Linked DNA regions of Xenopus tropicalis. The protein of the gene in region 4 binds, or shares a complex with, the protein of the main gene of each other region. Links are inferred from orthologs where the notes say so. Each region holds a gene or a part of one and is shown on either strand. Other genes may lie near its edges. The genes, in order: morf4l1, mbtd1, meaf6, trrap, ruvbl2, vps72 and tada3.

Region 1 (3,500 bases), on a different chromosome or scaffold from region 4:
ACAAGCAATACACATATTGAATAATCATACACGTTGAGAACAAGCTGGGACATGGTTGCATTGTACAGAAACTCCACCCGGGAATCATTACAGCAACTCAAATAGTTCCATGCAATTTACTCTGTCCATTATTTTGTTTTAAAGGTGCTACTTGGCAAGGATTAAACTGAAGCAGACATTTCTGGTCTCTGTTGCTTCACAGAATGTCCAAAATGGTCCCTTTCTGAAGAATAACAAAAGGCCAGAGCTCAGGGACGACACTTTGTTGTTTTTGCACCATGCCAGTCATAAAGGAGATACAGTATCAGACTTTATTTTCAGGAATCCATAAGAAAGTACTGCTGCTTCCATATTCCAGTAAGATGCAGGACAGTTACTCCTAGAGATCCAGATCCTACACTAAGATATGGTTGTACCCCAACTTCCATTTACTAAATAAATTGTGATAACTAAAAAACAGAAGTCAGATAGGTCTTGGATTTGAGTATCTTCGTGCCATTAAATATGATGAACAGACCAAATATATTTTAGATGCTCAGGAGGTCCACACGTTGAGGCTTCTAAGTGAAACATCTTTGGTCACGAACAGTTGATATATTAGCTGCCAAAGTTCCGATACTTTCTAAAGTTACCACCCAATGACATTGAAATCCAGTAACCAAAGGCAGCTGTGTCTGTCTTTTTGTTCACAACAGTCTTCTCTCTCAGCTTTTTTTCCCCATAACCAGCATGGTGGAGGAAAGCTGCAATGTGTACAATGAAACCTGTCCCAAGTTTTTTTTTTTTTTTTTAATTTGGGGGTTTTAAAAGTCATAAGAGCAGTCACAACAATGCTCAAAAGCCGTTCTGTCTGTGGTGTTCTTAAATCAAACTATACTGCTTTCCTGTGGTATTCTGGGGGCGCCACTTCATAGTCACTGGCACTAAAGAGCAAGGAGGAATTTTTGGCTAAATACCTAAGAGGAAATAAAAATATCCATAATAAATAAAGCAAAGTTAACATTTACAAGCACTGCAAACAGACTGAAATCACTACTTTCTCAGAACTGAGTACAAGGCAGAATTAGTAAAGGGTAGCTTTTCCAACATTGCGATTCTCTAAAAGGGACTACACCCCCATGTGAATATCAAGTGGCAGGATCGATGCTTGTCAACTATTATGTTACCATGTCACATGACAGGAAGCTGATAGAAGTCAGGAGATGTGGCGTGCCAAATCAAACTTCCTAAGGCTAAAAGTGAAATTAATACTGAGATAATGTGATTTCATGGTGCAACTTGTCAGAAAAAGGTTACTCACTTTAAGAAATCATGTAGATAGTTGAGAAGCAGTGCCAGACTCTTTTCATCGAGGGGAGTATAAGACAACATGGCTCCAATTCGGACTAAAGAAACAAAATCAGAACATTTAATTTTACAAAACTTTTTTTTGGTGATAGTTTTACACAGGGCTTCACACAATGCATAAGGCACCATGTATTCTTGTCAAACTATATCAAATAATGTAAGTTAAAGCGTTAAAGCACATGGAAAATCACAGACATCCATTCAGCCAACTATTCCGGCAGAGCAAATACTGGGCAAGGGCAAAGTACTGGAATTTAGAATATTCTGAATACACTGGGCTTGTTAAAAGCACCAGTTTCACTGTCAAAGATCCAGAATAATGATCTTACCAAATAGACGCAGAAGGTGTGGTGCTCCATACACTTGAGACATGGGGGCATCTGGATGGTCTGCCAGAATGTCTGCATACTGGGGACGTTCAAATTTGTATAGCAGCTGTGTGCCAAGCATTACATTAAAGTATTCTTTGATCCCTGCCACAACTTCATTTACAGCATATTCCCTAAGAGGGAAACAGGATATTAAATCAGGTAGTTCCTCTATACTGATCAAGGAATGTAAGCTACATAAATATGGCTTACTTGTTATCGGTATTTCCCCGAGATTTTTTATACGTAGCATACTCCTCCAAAACAGTTTCCACATTTTTCTTTGCTGGAAGATTAAACAGCTGTGTGGAGAGAAAAGGGAGTAGCATAAGAAGCTTTACATTCACATACAACAGTGGTAAGCAAAGTAATTTAATTCCTCAATATCTTTCCTTAAAATGGCCTACACCCACCCCTAAATCATGTAACACTTCTGGCCCCCCTTCTAATCTGTTAGAACTTGGCAACTATGTAGATGCAAGCTGCTTGTGCACTTGAAAGGAGTCAGAGGAAGGCCAGTAGTATTTTGTATCCAAGGCAGTACTATTTGTTCCAGTGCTTCCCACCAATTATCTACTCTGGTCGCCACTTACACAAACCCCTCAACAAGATGCTCACTTGCCCGCACTCATCCTGCCCCCGCATGCAGTTCATTCACTCCCTGGTGAGAAACCCTAGTTCTAGCCCGAAAAGAAATAAGCATAGCTAAAAAATTAAGTGTTACTGACTAAAATTTTCGCTTTTTAGTTATTCATAATTGTCCTTTTCTTTTACCAACCCTGTACTCTTCTGTATTACCTTGTCCCTCCCTTATTCTCTTGGGGCATCTATAGGTTGGCTATAAACCTACTGGATGATGTAATGAGCTAATACAGAAAAACATATTTGTGATGTTAACCATACAACACTGTTAGAAAGTAGGAACACAATAAGTTTTTAAAAGGTATACTTAATCTGTCAAAGAAATGACACTTCCAAAACAATATTTTCAAAGTCATACAAACCCCTCTAACACATACACAAGCTTTACAACTAGTTAGTAATATCATACTTTGCATATCATGAGCAGCATACACATGTAGCAAATGAACAGATTTTATCCCAGGATTTATACCTGTTTCTGTCGTGTGATTAAATCCCAGTCATCCACAAGCCAAGGTTTTAGCTCCTCTGGAATCTTTACCTTCACTTCAACTCTGTTCATAAAAGTCTCCTCCTGGGGGTATAACATATTCTCAGAAATGAATAGTTGACACTTTCTACTTCTATACCGAGAACACCTAATTTGTTCCTAACATAGGTCATTTCATGACTAAGGAAAAGTAGTTATATAAAGCAGGGAAAAGTAGTAATATAAAATCAGTGACACAGAACCATTACTAAACCCCTGGTAAAGACCCACATCCACTCTTTCACTGACCCAACTAACTGCCTTTAGCACATCCTGTCAGGGGGACAGCTTTTAAATTAATAGTTGGCTCCATGTATACTTACACTTTCCACAGTGGGATCTATCCGTGCCCGTTTTTTCCGTGGTGGCTGCGGAATGTCACTTGTGCTGCTGCCCTCTCCACTTCCAGGGCCTGCAAAAATACAAATACACTTGTGGTGAGGTCACATACAAAAAAAATTCACATACACAGAGTAATTCAAATATTCTTTAGGAGAAAAAAAGAGACACTCACCTTTCTGTTTATTCTTCTTTGTTTTGCTGGAGGATAAGAAACAAATTATTAGGATAAGTGAAAATCTCTATCTACAATAGAACATTTACAACAACAAAAA
Region 2 (3,500 bases), on a different chromosome or scaffold from region 4:
CAGTTCTTTTGAATCGGTGCCCTATGCTTCTTGACCAGCCAATGGGATGAATGAGGGGACTGTACATGTGGCACCAGAAGTCATCAGTTTTGTCTTCACTTTCTTCATATACCAATCTTAATCGACCTCCAATTACACTATCTACTACTGCAACCCGTGTTCGACAAAGATGTGTTTTATCAACTACTTCTACCCTCATGGAAGGCTTGAAAGGATACTGCATACTTTCAGATACCTGCAGAATCAGATGAAGGACACATCAGAGCGTAAATAAAGAATAAATTAATTTACCAGGTATAGTAGGCCATCAGCAATAGAATATTTCAAGCACACAATTAGCAAAAGTAATTTCTCAGTTACAGTTATATGCTGTTCCACCAGATAAAGGTAATCTATAATTTTGCTATGATTAGTTACCTTTTGAGAGAAGTCTGGTGGGAGAGTCTTTGCACCAGTCAATCGTTTCACTAAAAAAGCTTTCCAATTTGTGTATTTGTGTTGAATGGCTGTAAAAGACACATTGTAAAACTGAGAATAAGTGAATATACTAGAAAACAGGCTGAAAAAAACAAAACAAAAAAACCTAAACTTCCAACATTTGATGAAAAATTAATATAAAATAATGCAATAGAACATTTATAGCAAATGCAGCACAGGCTCGAGGCAAGATAATCTCCAATGCAGTACACTTTGTACGTAAAAGTGTTTAATTTTAAAATCCATAGTCCTGTAAATGTATAAACTGACTTCTACGTACATAAACTGTATCATTTGTATAATGCGCTCATGGAGTATTTTAATTGCCTGAACAGGGTAACAATAAAACTATGAGTACAGTGGAAAAAATTGCAAAGTATAGCAATTTTAATGTCTGAAAGTGAACTGCATGCCATTAAAAAGTTTTTCAAACGAATCCTGGTTTTTAAAAGGTGAACTACCTCAACAGCTGCTTTTTGCTTGTCCTGAAAGAACATCCGACACCCCCCAAGTCAGGGCAAGTGAGGATCTGGTTGTTCTACTACATGCACTCGCATTCATTCAGGGGCCCATTCATGACAGCACAAATTTTTTTTGTGAAAAAAAACGTATTTTTTCTAATTTATAGAACTTTGTTATGTCCACGATATTTTCGTTAAAATTCCACGTCTTTTCCGTGGTTTTCTTTCACTTTTTGGAATTAATTCAAGCTTTGGTATCAGTCAAAGCTGGATCTGTCGAGTGCCATTGAGTCCTATTGAAGGCTTCCAAAATCATGCATTGAAGTTTCAAAGCTACAAATGTTTTTGCGCCGTTGACGATCGTTGGGATCCGAAAATTTTTTGACTTTCGGATCACAACCACAATATTTTCATAAGACCGAGAAAAGAATGTGACATTTTCGCACATCAGAAATTATTGTGGTTATTCCAAATTTTTTCAAATCGTGCTTGTAACCACCCAAAATTTGTGGTATAATGAATGGGCCCCTTAGTGATTATAAGCATGTGTGTATATATATTTTAAAATGCTGGGACATCCACATAACACTTTACAATATGGGATTGAATTAAAACTTTTTTGATCTTTGAAAGAGTGCCTGATGTGTACCATTTCCTTCTGTAATGGTTTGTTTATTTGTTACCAAGTGGCACTGAAATTTCTGCTACTCTGTTCTGTTTTAAAAGAAAAACTCAAATGTAAATTAAAAAATATATAATAGTAAATTAGTAAGGAAAACGTTACTGGGTCCATTTAAAATAAAAAAAAAAAAAAAATTTAACAGTAAAACAGTAACAGTATTTTTACATCTATTATTGTAATCCACTCTTCCCTTACTTAACTGAAACATTTCTATAAACCATCTTTAACAAAACACCGTCCCTGATTATTTCATGTAAGAAAGAACACCATGATCGTTCTATTATAGTAGTAATAGTGCAGAAATTGAGCCTCTAATCATGTTAGTCAGGTCAGGACTATGCTAAAAGAAGATATAAATCATATATATTATATATATATATATATATATATATATATATATATACACACACACACACAGACATAACTGCTTGTGGAGCCCAGGGTTCCCAGGTTTGGAGAAATATATCATGTACTTGCTTTTTTATAAAGGTTTTTTTTTTTTAATTCTGAGCCATATTTCATAGGACAACAAATTATTTTGTGCATATATAATGGCAAAAAAACAAACAAGCATGTTAACAAGATTGACATTACTTTGTGGTGGGACCAATGGTTTTCCACTAGTTGCGCACCAGCCAACTGGATGAACGTCAGGTCCACAAATGTTACACCAAAAGTCAAGACTGGAATCGTTCTCAAAGCCTTCATACCTTAGTAATGCATTAAACCCTAGGAAAGAAAAATTAAAATGGAAATATTCTTTAGTTGGATGACAATTATATGATAGACTAAATTATAAAAAAAATAAAGTATATGCACCTTTTCTGGAAAGAAGCTTGGAATACAGTACCAGACCATATAAAAAACTTCCACAACTTAATATATTTTTGTGTGTTTAATTATAATTTTTCTTTGCAGTTGAGTAGAGGAGGTGCCGTGCTATATACAGTGGCTTGCAAAAATATTCGGCCCCCTTGAACTTTTCCACATTTTGTCACATTACAGCCACAAACATGAATCAATTTTATTGGAATTCCACGTGAAAGACCAATACAAAGTGGTGTACACGTGAGAAGTGGAACGAAAATCATACATGATTCCAAACATTTTTTACAAATAAATAACTGCAAAGTGGGGTGTGCGTAATTATTCAGCCCCCTGAGTCAATACTTTGTAGAACCACCTTTTGCTGCAATTACAGCTGCCAGTCTTTTAGGGTATGTCTCTACCAGCTTTGCACATCTAGAGACTGAAATCCTTGCCCATTCTTCTTTGCAAAACAGCTCCAGCTCAGTCAGATTAGATGGACAGCGTTTGTGAACAGCAGTTTTCAGATCTTGCCACAGATTCTCGATTGGATTTAGATCTGGACTTTGACTGGGCCATTCTAACACATGGATATGTTTTGTTTTAAACCATTCCATTGTTGCCCTGGCTTTATGTTTAAGGTCATTGTCCTGCTGGAAGGTGAACCTCTGCCCCAGTCTCAAGTCTTTTGCAGACTCCAAGAGGTTTTCTTCCAAGATTGCCCTGTATTTGGCTCCATCCATCTTCCCATCAACTCTGACCAGCTTCCCTGTCCCTGCTGAAGAGAAGCACCCCCAGAGCATGATGCTGCCTCCACCATATTGGACAGTGGGGATGGTGTGTTCAGAGTGATGTGCGGTGTTAGTTTTCCGCCACACATAGCGTTTTGCATTTTGGCCAAAAAGTTCCATTTTGGTCTCATCTGACCAGAGCACCTTCTTCCACATGTTTGCTGTGTCCCCCACATGGCTTGTTGCAAACGGGACTTCTTATGGGTTTCTGTTAACAATGGCTTTCTTCTTGCCGCTCTTCCATAAAGGCCAACTTTGTGCAGTGCATGACTAATAGTTGTC
Region 3 (3,500 bases), on a different chromosome or scaffold from region 4:
GAAACAGTAAAACTTCTAAATCATTTTTATTAAAAAATAAAAATAGTGTCCTTAAATACAGTTTTAGCAAATTACAGTTCTAAGCAATTTTTCAGCCAACCTGTGCCTATTTTTATTCTTGCGTTTCTTGTGACTGCTGTGATGGCCACCAGAATTGGCTGAAGAAGCTGCTTTTTGAGGTTTAACACCAGACAGGGAACCATCTAAATCCTCTGTATCATCTTGGCTAGGCTCATTTTCTTGGTTCTGAAAATCTGGAGAGTTGTCGCTCTCTGTTCCGCTGCCTGGCTCCCCTAAAAAAAAAAACAGAGCAAGACCGCATAAGATGCAGTCAAAAAAATCCACGAAAATGAAAACACACAATTCTATAACTGCAGCTAATGCATACATGGTACAGATGGGCTACCTACCATTGCCAACATAAAATGTAATGATATACAAACCCTTTTTAAAGTCTTATGATACTGATAAATAACAGCTCAAAGATTACTTTAACATTTCAGAGCATGTTGGAGTATGATGTAAGTATAAGGAAGGTTTTGGCAAAAAGAAAGAATAGTGGAGATCCTGCGCAAGACAGTATCTGAAAGTAAATCAGCAATAAAAGATGCATGACACATTAAATTATGCTCTCATCTCACTTGAAGACAAATACAAAGCAAAAAAACATATAAACATTACACTCACGTTTCTCAATCAGCTGGTCTTGAACACCTGCCAATGCACTGACAGCCTAAAGTGTAAACACAAATATTTGTTATAGAGCAATAAGGCACTTTCTATAGCAGCTTAGAATATAATATGAGCAAGTTGAACAGAAGGACTCGTCTAACTGGAGATTCAACACCTGAATGTGGCATTCCAAATTAATTTAAGGCACTGGCGTACATATGCACCCCACAGATTTTTTATGTCATAATTGAATTATAATCTGGTCCACAAACTTACTGGTTACCACCTAATTGGTCCACTTTTTATTATAAGTTGGACAGCACAGTTCTACATAAATGACCTGTACAAGAACCCAGAGATCCAAAATGTTTTTCGATGTGGCTATGCCCTAAAAAAATCTGTACATAGACTGAAACTGTAATTACCAAAACAAGATTACCATGCAAATGAAAAGATGGTCATAATCAGGCCTTATAAGTTGGCCATTCTAAGGGCTATGGCACACGGAGTGTTTAGTCTAGTGATGCCATCCAGAAGAAAACAACAGTAAACAAAATACCATTGTCCATCTGCCTGTTAGTAATTAATGAAATGCGCCAAATTGTAAACCCATGCAGTGGTGGCAGTAAGACTGTGGTATGAAAACTGTGCTTTTCATTAAAGAAGAACTAAACCTCCCCTAGACAAAAGCCCCCCATCCACTGCCTTCCAATGAGCCCCATCCTTGCTCCCTCCCCTTTGAGTCTATTTCAATGAAAAGTGTCTCTGTAAAGCTGACCTACAGATGCAGAATACCACAGCGGAGCTAGCTAGTCATTTTAGGGATTATAAAATAAAAGGTTTACTTATTCTTTAATGTTCATTCATTACTAACCATGAAAGCTTTCTTAAATTGTACTTACAGCAGCTGATGTTACGGAAGATTTGCTAAAAAGTCGTTCTGCTTCTTTGAACTTTCTGTTCCTCCTATCATTCTTACTGTTTGAATTCCTGCAATAGAAAATTTTGTTTACTAGATTCACATATAAAAATATATTTGGCACTATTCTCCAGCAAGCCCTTTCTCATAGGTATCCATAGTGTATGATTATTGGCAACCATACTGTTCATATTCATAGACAAAATTTTATGAAATTACATGTATTGCCAGTTTCAGAAGGAACAAATAACATTCTAAACTACAGTGCACTTCAATGCATTCTTTTTCTAAATACTGTCAGGAGTTCATATTTTGCTTCATATTGCAGCATAAATTGTAATGCACATTAACTGGAAAAAAAAGCATATTAAAGCATTGACCATAAATCCCAGATCTTTAATAAAGTGAGTTATAGCAGTAAATGTAGTTGTGGTTGGGGGACTACTGTAGTCTGTTAAACAGTAAGTGAATCAGATTAAGTTGTATTAATCTTTTCATCAAATTTCTAAAGCAAAGGGCATATAGGGTTAAACAAAAACAGAAGCTTACTAATCCAAACTTACTTTTGATTTGTTAGGTAACGGTCCCAACCTCTGATAATGTTACCATACATCTGTGTGTCTTCCAAGTAACTCCCTTCAAAAGCATAGATCTGCCGTTCTAAATTTGCAAGTGTCTCCTATGGAGAGAGACAAATCACAACTTTTTAAAAATGCTAAATATTTATGGACACAATATTAGGACAGTTGGTATATACACAGATTAAAAAACATTTGCAGGTCTGTTACATGATTCATATTGTGACAGAAGTCAAAGATTTAGGGGGTTATGTAATAAAGTGCACTAAGTTTGCCCAAGAGAAGTAAACCATAGCAACCAATTAGCAGGTAGAATTTACTGGTCACCTGTTTAAAAGCACACTTCTAATCTTATTGGTTGCTATGGGTAACTGCTACATCTTTTATTGCATACGGGGTTAGACTTTCTCAAGTAGGCTAAAGGGACCGATATTACACTGTAATTGCTTCTAATGTATCACCTCAGATACTCAAGTAGTTTCAATGGCAACCACATGTATCAGCATAAAATGCCCACCCACTCAGTAATTGGGTAATAAGGATCCATACAGTTCTAATTTACTGAACAGAAGCGTAGCACATAACAGTTTTACATGGGTGGTGTGTTGATTTTAACATATGATTCGTAAATATTGGTACCATATAGTATACAATTACATGCTGATGCATTTGTGAGACTTAGAAGCAGAGTCAGTTGACTTGTGGCATATGGGGCAGGGATCCAAATGCCACCTTTACCACTGCATTAAAACCTTGGTAATTTCCACATAGAACATGCTGCCAACAAAATGGATAATGGTGCTTTTCAAATTCAGCTCACCCCAACAAAGTAAAAAGCAGTGTTTTCAATTGCTGTTGTCAAAAGTTGCTCTCAAGTGCGTGCTCTTGTCCCAGGAACATTTGCGCACCCACTGCAAACTATCAGCAGTGTGCACACAAACTTTCCTGGGACAAGAGTGGCTATAGAGAAAAACAGGGTCTGCTTTCTCTGTAGTTACGCTACTGAAAGTTACTATATTTGGATCATGGCACATGGAAACAATATTGCATGAAAAACAGTGTTGTATTCGTAATTATGTGAATAATCACAGTTTTTTTTTATATGATGGGGAAACATTCAGTTAAAAGCAAGTTGTGAAGTCACCAAGATAAAACACTGCATTAAGACCCATCCAGGATAGCTGTTGGGACATATGACTGCTGTCCATTGATGGGGTAACACTTTTACGGATCCTTAAATCAAAAAGTTTGCTTAGCCAAGTACATAATTAATTGGTTAGAAATTTGTTTGACATTCTTGCTTTCCAACAACATAGTTTGAAAAGTACTCC
Region 4 (3,500 bases):
GTGCCTAACATTTTGCACCCTGAATTAAAATTGATTTTACATGTCCTTTAAAGAACCCTTGTTACATGGGGCAAATACTTAAATACTCCATTCAATAGAGATCCTCCCTGTTTGTCCGTACACTGCAAATACAAAATATTCTAGCATCATAAGACCTCTGACTTTAAAAGTTCCCTGTTCCATTGGGCCAGCCAGCTAATAGCTTGGGTTTCCCAGTGATAATAGTCTCCTTTTTCCCTTTGCAGTTTCACAGAGAAGTCAATCCCAAGTGTCATTATTTCACATCGATACAAAGCTCAGGATACCCCAGCTCGGAAAACTTTTGAGCAAGCGTTAACTGGAGCCTTCATGTCTGCTGTGATCAAGGACCTGCGCCCAAGTGCTCTCCCTTTTGTTGCCAGTTTGATTAGACATTACACCATGGTAGCTGTTGCGCAGCAGTGCGGTGAGCTTGTGTTCCTGGCTTTGGCTAACCATAAATTTCTTTTTAGATATTTGGCCCATAAGGCATTGCTAGGTTTTGCTACCCTTATAAATCTTATTTTTCTGTTTACTGCATTTTTTTGTGATTCATTTGTGTGATTATAATGTTTATACTATGATATAACCTTTTTGGCAGACTTATAAAATACATTATATTTATATTACCCTTTTACATTCAGGTAATAGTGTAGCACCCTCTATCATCTCCTCTCAGCAATGACTAATCTATATTATAAAAAGATTCACTATGGTTTACAACTTTCTTGGCTATTTCATGGGCATTTTCATGACTTTCAGTTCGATTTGCAGTGTTTTTGTGTACACGTGGGCTTGGGCCAATGATGATGGCTATAGCACCCAACATCCAATGTCACATGACACTTCAAAAGTTTATAGCTCTAAAATTTGTTTGTAAAACTGCTGAGAGGAACACTTTAGATATCTGAGTAATGAAAACATACAGAAATACAAGAAAACTAATTTTAATTAATGTATAGGTTTTCAGAAATTGAGTACAACAGTTAGACTAAAATCAGATTTTTTTTCCTCTTTTTGCCCCCAGGCCCTTTCCTTCTGCAGTGCTACCAGGTCGGAAACCAGCCAAGTACAGCCATGTTTCATAGTGAAGAAAATGGCTCCAAGGGAATGGACCCGCTGGTGCTCATTGACGCCATAGCAATATGCATGGCTTATGAGGAGAAGGAACTGTGCAAGATAGGAGAAGTGGCTTTGGCCGTGATATTTGATGTCGCCAGTATCATTCTAGGATCAAAGGAAAGGGTAATCCACCATTTGCATAAGATCAGTCAAAGGAACATGCCTTTAGAATTAATATCTATAGTACTTATCATTAAATGAGCCTCTTTGACAGCTAGCGTTATTATTTGGAGATCTAACCCATTAGCCATTAATGCCTGAATCAAAATGTACCATAAACTGTCTTTAATTTTATTTTTTAGGCCTGCCAGCTACCTCTGTTCTCCTACATTGTGGAACGACTTTGTGCATGCTGCTACGAGCAGGCTTGGTATGCAAAGCTAGGTGGCGTGGTTTCTATTAAGTTCCTAATGGAACGCCTTCCCCTCATTTGGGTTCTTCAGAATCAGCAAACTTTTCTCAAGGCCTTGCTTTTCGTCATGATGGACTTGACTGGTGAGGTAGGTAGTGGGCATCACATAGTGTCATTCCTGCTCAGTGAGAGCCTAGTGATCTCTGTTTATGGGTACAGCATGTCTTAAACAGCATGTTGTGATATATTACTGAATCTAACTATATTATTATAGGTTTCTAATGGAGCAGTGGCAATGGCCAAGACGACCCTGGAGCAACTTTTGATCCGCTGTGCAACCCCACTTAAGGATGAGGAGAAAACTGAGGAGATAGAGAATGCCCACAAGAAATCCTTCCACCTCGTAACGCATGATTTGGTTCGGGAAGTGACTTCTCCAAACCCCACTGTGAGAAAGCAAGCTATGCACTCACTGCAAGTCCTGGCACAGGTGACTGGAAAAGGTGTCACCATGATCATGGAGCCTCATAAAGAGGTAAGATGGTGTGTGGTTGGACTTTTGTGCCCATGTGGTTTGTTTGTTCATTGAATGAGCCTACATTCATTTCAATGACTTCTGTATCCAGGTCTTGCAGGACATGGTTCCGCCAAAGAAGCATTTGCTCCGTCATCAGCCAGCAAATGCCCAGATTGGTCTCATGGAAGGTAACACCTTCTGCACAACGCTTCAGCCCAGACTGTTCACGATGGACCTCAATGTTGTTGAACACAAAGTCTTCTATTCAGAGGTATTTCTGCCCATTTCTTATGTATGTATGTATGTAAAGCAGTTATCTCTGGGCTTGTGACCTTATGCAGCCTCAGCCTCAGTATTTCTACAACAGCAGCAGTGAGGATTACAGTGACTGAATAGATTAGAATTTGTAAGAACCAACATTTTTTTCAACAACTGTAACTTTTGTTTTGATTTATATATAACTCTGTACAGTTTTTATTTTTTGTTACCACCATTTGGGAAAAATCTGTTTTTATAATGTTTGCTCCAGCACACTTCTTGGCAGAAGTAGCTAACAGTTACTGTGGCTTGTTAAAAATACAAAATATTAATAAGCATTGGAACAGTTGTTTCCTCACCTTCCTGGGCAACGCAGAAGTCTCCCACTTCGGGGCAGAAGAGTTTAAGAAAATAGGCTCTCTATGGAGTCGAATCCCTTTGCATTTCATCCTATCTACCTATAGATACAGGAGATACTTATAGTACTTGAGAGGAAAACCAAGCAGTGACATGTCTAAACAATGCATTCATTTCATGAATCCAAGAGAGTGTTCTTCAATATTAAGTGATTTATTAGCCGTTGGAAAGACTGTTTAATTAGCCTGTCTCCATTACTATTGTAAAGCTTCCATGGCTCAAAGTAGAAATGCAACAGTAGAGAAGAATGTGCCGGAACCTTCCTCTAAAGGTGGCCTTACACCATAAGGAGTTGCCAGTAACACTGTGTGGATTGACACAACCCGCAGGTTTTCCATTAGGCAGGTTAGGGTTGAAATTTGTCTGTCTTGGAACCCATTGTGCATGCAGAAGTAGCTTATAGAGCAGAAAGACTTGGGTGTGGGTCCTAAAGTGGCAACATTTTGCCAGTTATGGTTGGGTTGTGCAGGTTGAGTTTTACCCAACTCCCACATCACTAGTTGCTGACCAGACAAACTTACTGATAAAGGTACTGGCAGGACAGAGGGCACCACTCAACCAGGTGGACTTTAAAGGAAATGTAAACTTTAAAATTATGATTTGTCCATAAATGAAAATAACCATTTGAAGCAATATCGTCTAGTTAAAGCTAGGGAAACTTCCTGCAAACCTGCCTGATTGATTTTCTGACTGATGTCGGATGAAAAATGGCTAGATGTATGATAATTTGGTGCCCACTAACCTTACGATAATTCAAACTGGGCCCCACTTACTCTAGCAGGCTGTCAAAAATTACATGATAGACAGGGAAACAAA
Region 5 (4,031 bases), on a different chromosome or scaffold from region 4:
TGTATTTCATTGGTTGCCATAGGTTACTTCATCAGGACAGTTTTGCTCTATGTTAGTCAACATATAGTGCCCAGGGAGAGGCAGCAGGAACCTGACCAGGCCAAATGGGGTATAGGGGGCACTGCATATAAAAGAGTAACCCAGATCTACACACTAGCTCCAGAGAAACAGCCTATAACAGATATGAGATACTTTTCCTGTGGCTATGCATAGGTTCAGGTTTGTAGTTACATGGCGTAAGATTTCATTCCTTTATCATTATTGGAAAGTGAAAAAGAGCTCTTGTTTCTATGCAGTATATTCAGGCCTCTTAGTGCAGCCAGCCTCACCAGAACTGAAACATTTACTCCATAGCATTCTGCTCAGTTGACTGCAAAAAGCTGAACTATGGTTGCCATGGGGTTCTGCATCACCGTAGGGCATGCATCTGTTTGTAAATTCCCCCCTCTGTGAAATGTGTTGGTGTGTATGGCCACTTTTATATGGAGCAGTAGTGTTGGTTCATGGTAAGCAAATTAATTACTCTATAGTTGAATGCAATGTAGACCAAAGATGCTTTCCTCCAGCCTTTCCATCATCCTTGGATATAGCCATGCAGTAGCTAGGGGGGTTGCTTGTGGTGTAGTGGCAGAGGTATGCTGAATATTCTGGGCCTCTGGGGATGAATTATTTAACACGGTGTTAGTCTCAGTAGCTTTGTTTTGCTTGTTCCTGGATAGACAGTCTGCCAGTTTAGCCCATCTTTTTTTGTATGACCAAAAAAAAAAAAAAAACAGCTTCCTGGTTACGAATTGTCCAGAATAAGGCAGATTTTTAGTGCAAATGTTAGTAAATCCTTTCAATTAGATAAACTGCTCACCTGCTTGAGCTGTTATTTCACATCATACTCCCTGTCAGATGGCTTGTGTTGCCTGGTGTGACAGGGGTGTATGTAGTTGCTCTTGAGTACTATAAGAGTAAAATGACTCCAGTTCCATGAATTACCCGTGTGTTTTGGGTATCCTATAGCAGGACAGTTTGCCTTGGTTCTTACCATCCCGTATCCTATTGTTGGAGAATTTGCTTTGCAAACAACCTTGATTTGTTACTAGGAAACCGTTTGTTAACGGGGAAGATCCTTAGGGCAGACTGTTAGGATGGTAATGACAGGCATAGGCCGAGGCAGTTTGCAGTTGTTCTTATATAAAGGTAGGGCTAAATGGGCATGAGGTGGACAAAAAACAATGTTCAGCTCACAACATGCAGGGGTGGGGCAAATACATTTGGAATTCTCAAGAGGTAATCTCACATTCTGTAGAAAACATTGGTGAATCTTTATAAGCCAATGTCTCCTGCATTTATTTTGCTGCTGAGTTGTAATTAGTATTTCATGCATTGATGTCTAAAGGAAACCGTGATCAATATTCATGGTTATTTATGTCTCATAGACAACCAAGGTGCCAGAGGTGCGAGATGTCACCCGGATTGAGAGGATTGGTGAGTGTAAAAATACTACAAAAATAAACACAAAAATAACCTGCTAAACATGATGTGGTTCCCATGTAGCCCTCCTATTCAAATAACTGAATATTTTAGAACTCATGTATTCACCTCCATTGCATCGTGACACTTTTTGTTTCCATGGGCAGCAGTGCAGTTTAATCAACAAACAGTCTCCTTGGTGATAAATAGCTACAGAGGGTTGTAACTTTGCTGCAATCCCAGGCATTAGCATCACAAAGTTCCATCACTATTTTCATTTACTTTCAAGCCAAATGTGTTTAATTTTATTTATCTAATTGCAACAACAATTTTAAACGCGCATTATACACCCCTTTTCAAAAATTTTGAGTGCTGAGCATAATTTTTTGCCTGTTTAAAGTAAGAAATATGTTGCTAATAAGGAATGCCCACAGTGCCTTTTTTCCTACACTTTGGTCAAGCTGTTGGCTCTGTGCCAGATTATTTTGATAACATATATATATACTATATATGATAAAATAAAACATATATATTGCTTAACAAATATCCAAATAATAAAATATTTCAAGGAAACAATTTGTACATGTAATTGCAAATGAAAGCAGTGTCTGTTTATGTTTTTCTCTAACTCGCTTAAGACAATATATATTCACCTCCATATCCATTAAATCAAACAGCGGCTTCCAAGCCAAAATTAGTTAAAGAGCCCCACACAACACAGAAACCCCTAATATACCTATCCCTGTAATCTGTTCCATTAAAAAGTATGAATAAATACCATTTTATATGCTGAAATCCAGCTGTAAAACATTTATTTTTCTGCATTTGGCATCCTAGCATTAGCACGTGTAACAGTGCATATTAATTGTATGAGGTAGTCTGGGTATGTATAGATTAATACAAAAGATATCCAACACATTAAAATTAGTCTGTGTTTTGTGTTTCCTACCTATTAACTGCTTATTTTTGTGTATATAGTCTAACATTTGTCTCTCTTTGCCAGGCGCACATTCTCACATCAGAGGGCTTGGCCTTGACGATGCGTTGGAACCCCGTCAGGTACTGAAAGCGCTCTAATACTATAATATGAATGGTTATGAATTTTTGCTTATAATGACACTGGTTAGCGTTAGACAAGCAAGTGGCAGATTGGATACGTGTCGATCTGTCCTTCCTTCTAAAAGTAAATTTAACATCATATGTGCAGGGAATTGTGGGATTTGGAGTATGCTGGCTGAAGGCAGGCTTGTCAGCCAGATCAGCAGGAGAACAGGGGGCAGGGCTAAGGGAACTGTTCTAAACCATATTACATACAGTGGTGTGAAAAACTATTTGCCCCCTTCCTGATTTCTTATTCTTTTGCATGTTTGTCACGCTTAAATGTTTCTGCTCATCAAAAACCGTTAACTATTAGTCAAAGATAACACAAGTAAACACAAAATGCAGTTTTTAAATGAGGGTTTTTATTATTTAGGGAGAAAAAAAATCCAAACCTACATGGCCCTGTGTGAAAAAGTAATTGCCCCCTGAACCTAATAACTGGTTGGGCCACCCTTAGCAGCAATAACTGCAATCAAGCGTTTGCGATAACTTGCAACGAGTCTTTTACAGCGCTCTGGAGGAATTTTGGCCCACTCATCTTTGCAGAATTGTTGTAATTCAGCTTTATTTGAGGGTTTTCTAGCATGAACCGCCTTTTTAAGGTCATGCCACAACATCTCAATAGGATTCAGGTCAGGACTTTGACTAGGCCACTCCAAAGTCTTCATTTTGTTTTTCTTCAGCCATTCAGAGGTGGATTTGCTGGTGTGTTTTGGGTCATTGTCCTGCTGCAGCACCCAAGATCGCTTCAGCTTGAGTTGAAGAACAGATGGCCGGACATTCTCCTTCAGGATTTTTTGGTAGACAGTAGAATTCATGGTTCCATCTATCACAGCAAGCCTTCCAGGTCCTGAAGCAGCAAAACAACCCCAGACCATCACACTACCACCACCATATTTTACTGTTGGTATGATGTTCTTTTTCTGAAATGCTGTGTTACTTTTACGCCAGATGTAACGGGACACGCACCTTCCAAAAAGTTCAACTTTTGTCTCGTCGGTCCACAAGGTATTTTCCCAAAAGTCTTGGCAATCATTGAGATGTTTTTTAGCAAAATTGAGACGAGCCATAATGTTCTTTTTGCTTAAAAGTGGTTTGCGCCTTGGAAATCTGCCATGCAGGCCGTTTTTGCCCAGTCTCTTTCTTATGGTGGAGTCGTGAACACTGACCTTAATTGAGGCAAGTGAGGCCTGCAGTTCTTTAGATGTTGTCCTGGGGTCTTTTGTGGCCTCTCGGATGAGTTGTCTCTGCGCTCTTGGGGTAATTTTGGTCGGCCGGCCACTCCTGGGAAGGTTCACCACTGTTCCATGTTTTTGCCATTTGTGGATAATGGCTCTCACTGTGGTTCGCTGGAGTCCCAAAGCTTTAGAAATGGCTTTATAACCTTTACCAGACTGATAGATCTCAATTACTTTTGTTCTCATTTGTTCCTGAATTTCTTTGGATCTTGGCATGATGTCTAGCTTTTG
Region 6 (2,680 bases), on a different chromosome or scaffold from region 4:
GAGAGCCATGCAGCCTTTCTTTTATATCTGTGTGTGTCTTGTACTTACTGAGAGCCATGCAGCCTTTCTTTTATATCTGTGTGTGTCTTGTACTTACTGAGAGCCATGCAGCCTTTCTTTTATATCTGTGTGTGTCTTGTACTTACTGAGAGCCATGCAGCCTTTCTTTTATAGCCGTGTGTGTCTTGTACTTACTGAGAGCCATGCAGCCTTTCTTTTATATCTGTGTGTCTTGTACTTACTGAGAGCCATGCAGCCTTTCTTTTATAGCCAGGCTATGCTACTTTTTTAATATTTCCTTGTATTCCCCAAACAGGAGCCAATTCAACTCCTTAAACCAAAGCCCAAGAAAGCAGATGCCCCTCCCAGCAGTGCAGCAAAAAGCCGCCCAGAAAAGCCTCACCCTCAGGAGACACCAGAGGACGCAGTAGACAGTGAGTATGCCGCGGGCAGTGAGCTAGGGGGTTTCCTATGCTCAGAATCCGATTGGCTCTCCTAACTAGTCTTCCCCTTTAAACTCTCAGGCCGCAAACAAATGCGCCAATCGACGACGGAGCACACGCGGCAGACTTTCCTGCGAGTAAAAGAGCGGCAGATCCAGTCCAAGAAAAAGAAGGGGCCCCACCAGGACCGACCGCTGACCCAGGTGGAGCTGCTGGAAGAAGCCAAGATCACCGAGGAGATCAACATCCGCTCCCTAGGTGCGTGAGTACCGCCACTCCCCGTCCCGCTCCGGTGCCCTCCCCCCCCCCCCCCCCGTGCTCCAATGGTTTCTCCCTTTCTCCCACAGAGAATTACGAGCGCCTGGAAGCCGACAGGAAGAAGCAGGTCCACAAGAAGCGACGGTGCGTCGGCCCCACCATCCGCCACCACTCGCTGGTCATGCCCCTCATCACCGAGCTCAACGTGAAGGAGGAGAATGTGGATGTGGAAGGGTAGGTGCAACATGGCAGCTCCTACTTTGTACAATTCCCTCTTCCCATTTGTTATGTGTAACAAGGGGCATCCTCAGTGGGCAAACCCATCAGTCATGTGATGCTGCCCTGTGTACATTACATTTCCATCCTTGATATTGAAGCAAACGCCTGGTTGTTAGGGTCAGTGACCCTAGCAACCAGATACTCACTTTCTTAACCATTACAACGTTTTCTCTTGTTGCTTTTCTTTTATGTGTTGGGGGCCACAGGCTGGATCAGGAGCAGACAGGGGACGGCGCCCAAGTTTCGTCCGCGGGCAAATGCTCCCGCACTTTCATAACATTCAGCGACGACGAATCCTTCGAGCGATTCTTCCCCAGGACCAAGCAGGGCAAGTTCTCAGTCCGGGACATCTGCCCCGTTACCCATAAGCCGGCCCAGTACCGAGACCCCATCACAGACATCCCCTACTATAACGCCAAAGCCTTCAAAATCATCCGGGACGCTTACAAAAAATACATCACCACGCACGGCCTGCCTAACGCCGCCATGGCGGCCGCTATGGGCCCCGCCCCCAGTTCTGCTGACGCCGCCCAACGCAACACGAGGCAGAAAATCATTATCAAGCAGAGCGTGCCAAGCGCCTGATACAGCGCCCTCTAGCGTCTGCCGGCCATTACAGCACTCTGAGAGAGTTATGTACAAAGGATTATTCCCATTGGGAAGCTGTAGAACATCTACAGGGGCCACATTGCTCCTCTGATTCCTGGAGTAGAAGAAATGGGAGGGGCCAGGGGGTTGAATTTCTTAATGAGCCCCCTCACATTTGGGGGGGGGGGGGCTGCTCCCCTTAGCAGTAATGTAATTGGCCGCCATTCAGTTCAAATTACCAAATGGTAAACCCCGCCCACCCCAAACACACACAGGGGACTGGGACACCTGCTTCCAATAGCAGCTAAACAAACAGTATGGGGGGTGGGGCAAAGGCACAGATGCAGTTACCAGGGTGGCTTTAACCTGACTGACGTACTGTATGTTATATAGGGCTGAGCTCTCTCTATAGGCTACTATCTGGTTGCTAGGGCTTGATTACCCTAGCAACCACACACCAGGTCCGATAACACACTATAAAAATTGAAGTCAGTTTGCATTTTGGTTTCCAGAGATGTTTTGTTGGTTAAATGCTCCTAGAGCACTGGGGGGGGGGGGGGGGGACTGTCTGTTATGTACATTATAATAAATTTGATTAGTAATTTCTGTGAATTGTAGTTAGTTGTGAGTTTTATTATGGCTTTTCATGCTGAGTAAAAGTACAGGGCGCCAGTGGCAGCATAGGGATTCCCCTGTACTAAGCACAATTCAGCAGGAACAGCCCCCTAAGTTTGCCCATAGCCTGTACAGAGAGATACCATAAAACTATGGCACATAGGGATTCCCCTGTACTAAGCACAATTCAGCAGGAACAGCCCCCTAAGTTTGCTCTTAGCCTGTACAGAGAGATACCATAAAACTATGGCACATAGGGATTCCCCTGTACTAAGCACAATTCAGCAGGAACAGCCCCCTAAGTTTGCCCATAGCCTGTACAGAGATATACCATTAAACTATGGCACATAGGGATTCCCCTGTACTAAGCACAATTCAGCAGGAACAGCCCCCTAAGTTTGCCCATAGCCTGTACAGAGAGATACCATAAAACTATGGCACATAGGGATTCCCCTGTACTAAGTACAATTCAGCAGGAACAGCCCCCTAAGTTTGCC
Region 7 (3,972 bases), on a different chromosome or scaffold from region 4:
ACAATAAATATAACGGGCAGCATATGCAGCATTTTGCCATCTGAAGATTTATACCAACTCAAACCTATAGACATTCCTACTGGGCATGAAACCCTCCTACACAAGGGCATATTCCTTCATGCCAAGTACACTGGGCAGCCACTGCTGAGGGACGGGTGCTCTACATTTAACCCCCTGATTTTTACCTGGGTCTCCGCTTCCAGAACACGGAGCCTCCTGCTTGCAGAGGACAGTAGGGTTTCCAGCTCCAGCTGAAGGGTATCCAGCTCCTCAATCCCGATTCCGTCATCCTCGGAGCGGGACAGAACTGCGGTGTATCTGGGGCACAACTTGACATGGTCCACAGATTTGAAGTCATGGAACTGGAGAGGGCAATCCTTTAACTCGCTCATTCTGCCAAGGCTGGCGGCCTGCAACAAAGAATAATACAAAAGGTTAAGATAATTTTTTTTTTAGAATACAACCTCTGCATTATTTGAGTGCAAGCCCTTTTTCTCTATTTAGTGCGCTGAAGAATCTACTGTTGGACCTAGGCCAACTCCCATCAGCCCCTTATTTCCACCTAGCCATATACAACACCTATAACATTGTTTTGTTTTAAAAGGGGGCCCTATGGAGGGCCAAGTCTGACCCTGGTCTAATATGATACACCAGCAAAAATGCAAGAGCTCAAAAATCCCCCCTCTGAAATAAACAGCGAATCCCTTCTTAAACCTAGAATACATGCATATGTTGCACCAACACAAATGTATGCAACCATACTCTGCAGCACCAATAGGCAACAAGCCATACCACATGTGCATACTGTTCACCAATGCTGTAATGCAGGTGAATGCGGTACCCCCAATACACTAAGATGAATATATCATCTATACTCTGCAGCACTAATGCACGTGTATATTGTTCTGTACCCCAAAATACCAGGACTGTCTGTGCACCTATAGCCTGCAGCACTAATGCATTTGTATATTGCAGCCTTCATACCCTGCAGCACTAATACATGTGTATATTACAGCCTTCATGTACCCATACCCTGCAGCACAAATGCATTTGTATATTTTAGCCTCCATACCCTGCAGCACTAATGCATGTGTATATTGCAGCCTCCATACCCTGCAGCACTAATGCATGTGTATATTGCAGCCTCCATACCCTGCAGCACTAATGCATGTGTATATTGCATCCTCCATACCCTGCAGCACTAATGCATGTGTATATTGCATCCTCCATACCCTGCAGCACTAATGCATGTGTATATTGCAGCCTCCATACCCTGCAGCACTAATGCATGTGTACATTGCAGCCTCCATACCCTGCAGCACTATGCAGCACTAATGCATGTCTACATTGCAGCCTCCATACCCTGCAGCACTAATGCATGTGTATATTGCAGCCTCCATACCCTGCAGCACTAATGCATGTGTATATTGCAGCCTCCATACCCTGCAGCACTAATGCATGTGTATATTGCAGCCTCCATACCCTGCAGCACTAATGCATGTGTATACTGCAGCCTCCATACCCTGCAGCACTAATGCATGTGTATACTGCAGCCTCCAAACCCTGCAGCACTAATGCATGTGTATATTGCATCCTCCAAACCCTGCAGCACTAATGCATGTGTATATTGCATCCTCCATACCCTGCAGCACTAATGCATGTGTATATTGCAGCCTCCAAACCCTGCAGCACTAATGCATGTGTATATTGCATCCTCCAAACCCTGCAGCACTAATGCATGTGTATATTGCATCCTCCAAACCCTGCAGCACTAATGCATGTGTATATTGCAGCCTCCAAACCCTGCAGCACTAATGCATGTGTATAGTGCAGCCTCCATACCCTGCAGCACTAATGCATGTGTATATTGCAGCCTCCATACCCTGCAGCACTAATGCATGTGTATATTTTAGCCTCCATACCCTGCAGCACTACTGCATGTGTATATTGCAGCCTCCATACCCTGCAGCACTAATGCACAGCCAGCTGTAATGGCCGGCCATACTGTACCCCAATGCCCCAGTACTATTGATAAGTGCACCCATACCCCCAATGCACAACAGGCTATAGGGCAGGTGTATACTGTATGCCTATGCAGGAGCAGTAACACTATGCACCTGTGCCCTGGGGTAGGGGTTATTACTAATAACCCCTTATGTACAGGTAACTGCTCTCCAGTTGCTGCAGAACTGGCGCTTTGCGAAAGGGGCGGCTGGGAGTTGTAGTCCTATTCTATTACAGCAGGGGAGTAAACGTATTTAGTAGCCTATGGCTACCAAATGACGCATTGTTACAGGTACTCTCCGCATATAACGCAAGCACTGAGCCCCCACGCACGGTATATACCGACACCACACAATATGCCCGTACCCACACTCCGGCCTGGCCCCCTCAATGGATCCTGCTCCTGCGCTCGTTTCCTTTGTCTCCCAACGGCCAGTAGGGGGCAGAGCCAAGCTCCTCACGCAAGGCCGCCACTGTCACCGCCTGTCAGTCACCCGGGAGCGTACCACTGCGGAAAAACAAATAGGGGTGTCAGTAAATGGGGAACAACTAATAAGGCTGGAATAGGCCGTTGAGCACAATAACCCGTTCTTAGGGAACGTTCTTACCACAAGCGCCTAATGGGTTCACGTCCACAAGGCACAATCTCTTTTAAGCACCCATTTTGTGCCCCGATGGAATCAACCATAGAGAAGAATCGTACTTGGCGCGCAATGGCGGCATTGGGAAGGCTTAGCCTGTGGGCTCCCGTAGTATTACTATTGATGTGCAGCTGTGATAGATCCGCAGGTATCTGGTATCATAAGCCTCTAGCAGTCGTGATAACAATCTCTCTCATGAATACCTTGTAAGAAATTTCTCCCGGTCGCTCATGTTCTGTTTGTACACCCCCTAAACCCCACTTTGGTCTGACCCGCCTGCATTCCACATTCCCTAATATGGCGTGAAGCGGGGCGAGCCGGACCATTTTCAAGAGGAGGGTGCACACCGGGTAAATTCATATAGTATTGCTTTTTATACGTATATGAGAATAATAATGTAACAAGAACGGAACTGAGATATGCTTATGTGTATATCCACAGCCCAAGCGGCTAAATTAATCTACATGGTTTAAGTATAAATGTTCGCCCAACCCCAGTTTATGATGGTTTAGTCCGACCGCTGGCTGTGCCAGTGAGGGGGAAGAGAGGTAGTGCGCATGTGCGAGTCTGTCACTTCCGCTATCGGGGGATACCGGAGCGATGGTGAGTGTGAGGGGCGGGGGGTTTTACGGAGAAATTGACACGAAAGAGCGACAACAGTCCGGGATAGAGAACCGGGCTATAGGCCGCCTGTGTTTGCCATGCTAAGCCCGTGGGTCGAGCAGGGAGCGGTGCAGGGGCGGCTTAGGGAACCGGTCTTGGGCGGGGGCCCGGCGTAGGAATGTTCATAAGACGCGGTGTATTCCTTACATTCATACAGTGATCCCTCTGTAATACTAAGGAAGACTGTGCGGAACTACAACTAAACGTCCTTCCCATAGGGGATTAAGCGAATCCCTCCATAGGCATTGCCTGCCTGACATCTGTATAGTGAGAGCTGCAGTTCCGCAACACTCGCCCAACCTGTAACTGCCTGTTGGCACTGCCACCGGCGGGACTTTCATTTTATTCAGCTTTAAGGCAATGTATGTGCTAGTGAGAGCGGGGTTTGCTCCATTCTCTCTGATTCCTGCACTGCCGGCTCTCACTATTGACACTTTGTATCTGAAGCCAGCTGAGGCATTGCCCATACACGCAGCAGGAGAGCTTGGCTTCTGCTACATTGTTGTAAGAGTGAGAATAACCTTGATTGCTTTTTAATTGCAATGACTGCTAATAGACAGTTGGCTAGGCAACATTTCAATTCTGGGATTACTTCCCCTTTAAAATATGTGGGTGTCTTTACTGGAGCAAGAACTGTCCTTTGGGCAGGTTGTGAGTTTCTACT

The links.
Region 1: trrap (region 4) and morf4l1 share a complex: the UniProt entries of both Homo sapiens proteins name them as parts of the nuA4 histone acetyltransferase complex. The link is inferred for Xenopus tropicalis from reciprocal best matches to the Homo sapiens genes TRRAP and MORF4L1.
Region 2: trrap (region 4) and mbtd1 share a complex: the UniProt entries of both Homo sapiens proteins name them as parts of the nuA4 histone acetyltransferase complex. The link is inferred for Xenopus tropicalis from reciprocal best matches to the Homo sapiens genes TRRAP and MBTD1.
Region 3: trrap (region 4) and meaf6 share a complex: the UniProt entries of both Homo sapiens proteins name them as parts of the nuA4 histone acetyltransferase complex. The link is inferred for Xenopus tropicalis from reciprocal best matches to the Homo sapiens genes TRRAP and MEAF6.
Region 5: trrap (region 4) and ruvbl2 share a complex: the UniProt entries of both Homo sapiens proteins name them as parts of the SWR1-like complex. The link is inferred for Xenopus tropicalis from reciprocal best matches to the Homo sapiens genes TRRAP and RUVBL2.
Region 6: trrap (region 4) and vps72 share a complex: the UniProt entries of both Homo sapiens proteins name them as parts of the nuA4 histone acetyltransferase complex. The link is inferred for Xenopus tropicalis from reciprocal best matches to the Homo sapiens genes TRRAP and VPS72.
Region 7: trrap (region 4) and tada3 share a complex: the UniProt entries of both Homo sapiens proteins name them as parts of the TFTC-HAT complex. The link is inferred for Xenopus tropicalis from reciprocal best matches to the Homo sapiens genes TRRAP and TADA3.

Annotation. Positions count from the first base shown.
Region 1 is NC_030679.2:118,081,489-118,084,988, forward strand, and holds part of morf4l1 (mortality factor 4-like protein 1), read right to left. Parts: intron 3,427-3,500; coding exon 3,401-3,426; intron 3,299-3,400; coding exon 3,210-3,298; intron 2,932-3,209; coding exon 2,830-2,931; intron 2,018-2,829; coding exon 1,929-2,017; intron 1,850-1,928; coding exon 1,677-1,849; intron 1,386-1,676; coding exon 1,301-1,385; intron 957-1,300; coding exon 872-956; 3' UTR 1-871. UniProt on the Homo sapiens protein: Component of the NuA4 histone acetyltransferase (HAT) complex which is involved in transcriptional activation of select genes principally by acetylation of nucleosomal histones H4 and H2A.
Region 2 is NC_030686.2:23,310,543-23,314,042, forward strand, and holds part of mbtd1 (MBT domain-containing protein 1), read right to left. Parts: intron 2,350-3,500; coding exon 2,215-2,349; intron 507-2,214; coding exon 418-506; intron 236-417; coding exon 1-235. UniProt on the Homo sapiens protein: Chromatin reader component of the NuA4 histone acetyltransferase complex, a multiprotein complex involved in transcriptional activation of select genes principally by acetylation of nucleosomal histones H4 and H2A.
Region 3 is NC_030678.2:86,132,697-86,136,196, forward strand, and holds part of meaf6 (chromatin modification-related protein MEAF6), read right to left. Parts: intron 2,271-3,500; coding exon 2,155-2,270; intron 1,663-2,154; coding exon 1,575-1,662; intron 734-1,574; coding exon 688-733; intron 294-687; coding exon 101-293; intron 1-100.
Region 4 is NC_030685.2:26,359,720-26,363,219, forward strand, and holds part of trrap (transformation/transcription domain-associated protein), read left to right. Parts: intron 1-245; coding exon 246-445; intron 446-1,045; coding exon 1,046-1,263; intron 1,264-1,442; coding exon 1,443-1,640; intron 1,641-1,766; coding exon 1,767-2,027; intron 2,028-2,118; coding exon 2,119-2,280; intron 2,281-3,500. UniProt on the Homo sapiens protein: Adapter protein, which is found in various multiprotein chromatin complexes with histone acetyltransferase activity (HAT), which gives a specific tag for epigenetic transcription activation.
Region 5 is NC_030683.2:113,417,080-113,421,110, reverse strand, and holds the start of ruvbl2 (ruvB-like 2), read left to right. Parts: upstream 1-1,231; 5' UTR 1,232-1,427; coding exon of another isoform or gene 1,428-1,476; intron 1,477-2,464; coding exon of another isoform or gene 2,465-2,520; intron 2,521-4,031. UniProt on the Homo sapiens protein: Possesses single-stranded DNA-stimulated ATPase and ATP-dependent DNA helicase (5' to 3') activity; hexamerization is thought to be critical for ATP hydrolysis and adjacent subunits in the ring-like structure contribute to the ATPase activity.
Region 6 is NC_030684.2:137,929,488-137,932,167, reverse strand, and holds the end of vps72 (vacuolar protein sorting-associated protein 72 homolog), read left to right. Parts: intron 1-316; coding exon 317-434; intron 435-524; coding exon 525-701; intron 702-790; coding exon 791-935; intron 936-1,186; coding exon 1,187-1,565; 3' UTR 1,566-2,180; downstream 2,181-2,680. UniProt on the Homo sapiens protein: Deposition-and-exchange histone chaperone specific for H2AZ1, specifically chaperones H2AZ1 and deposits it into nucleosomes.
Region 7 is NC_030680.2:138,580,975-138,584,946, forward strand, and holds the start of tada3 (transcriptional adapter 3), read right to left. Parts: upstream 2,801-3,972; 5' UTR 2,613-2,800; intron 2,513-2,612; 5' UTR 2,371-2,512; intron 411-2,370; 5' UTR 393-410; coding exon 186-392; intron 1-185. UniProt on the Homo sapiens protein: Functions as a component of the PCAF complex. The PCAF complex is capable of efficiently acetylating histones in a nucleosomal context. The PCAF complex could be considered as the human version of the yeast SAGA complex.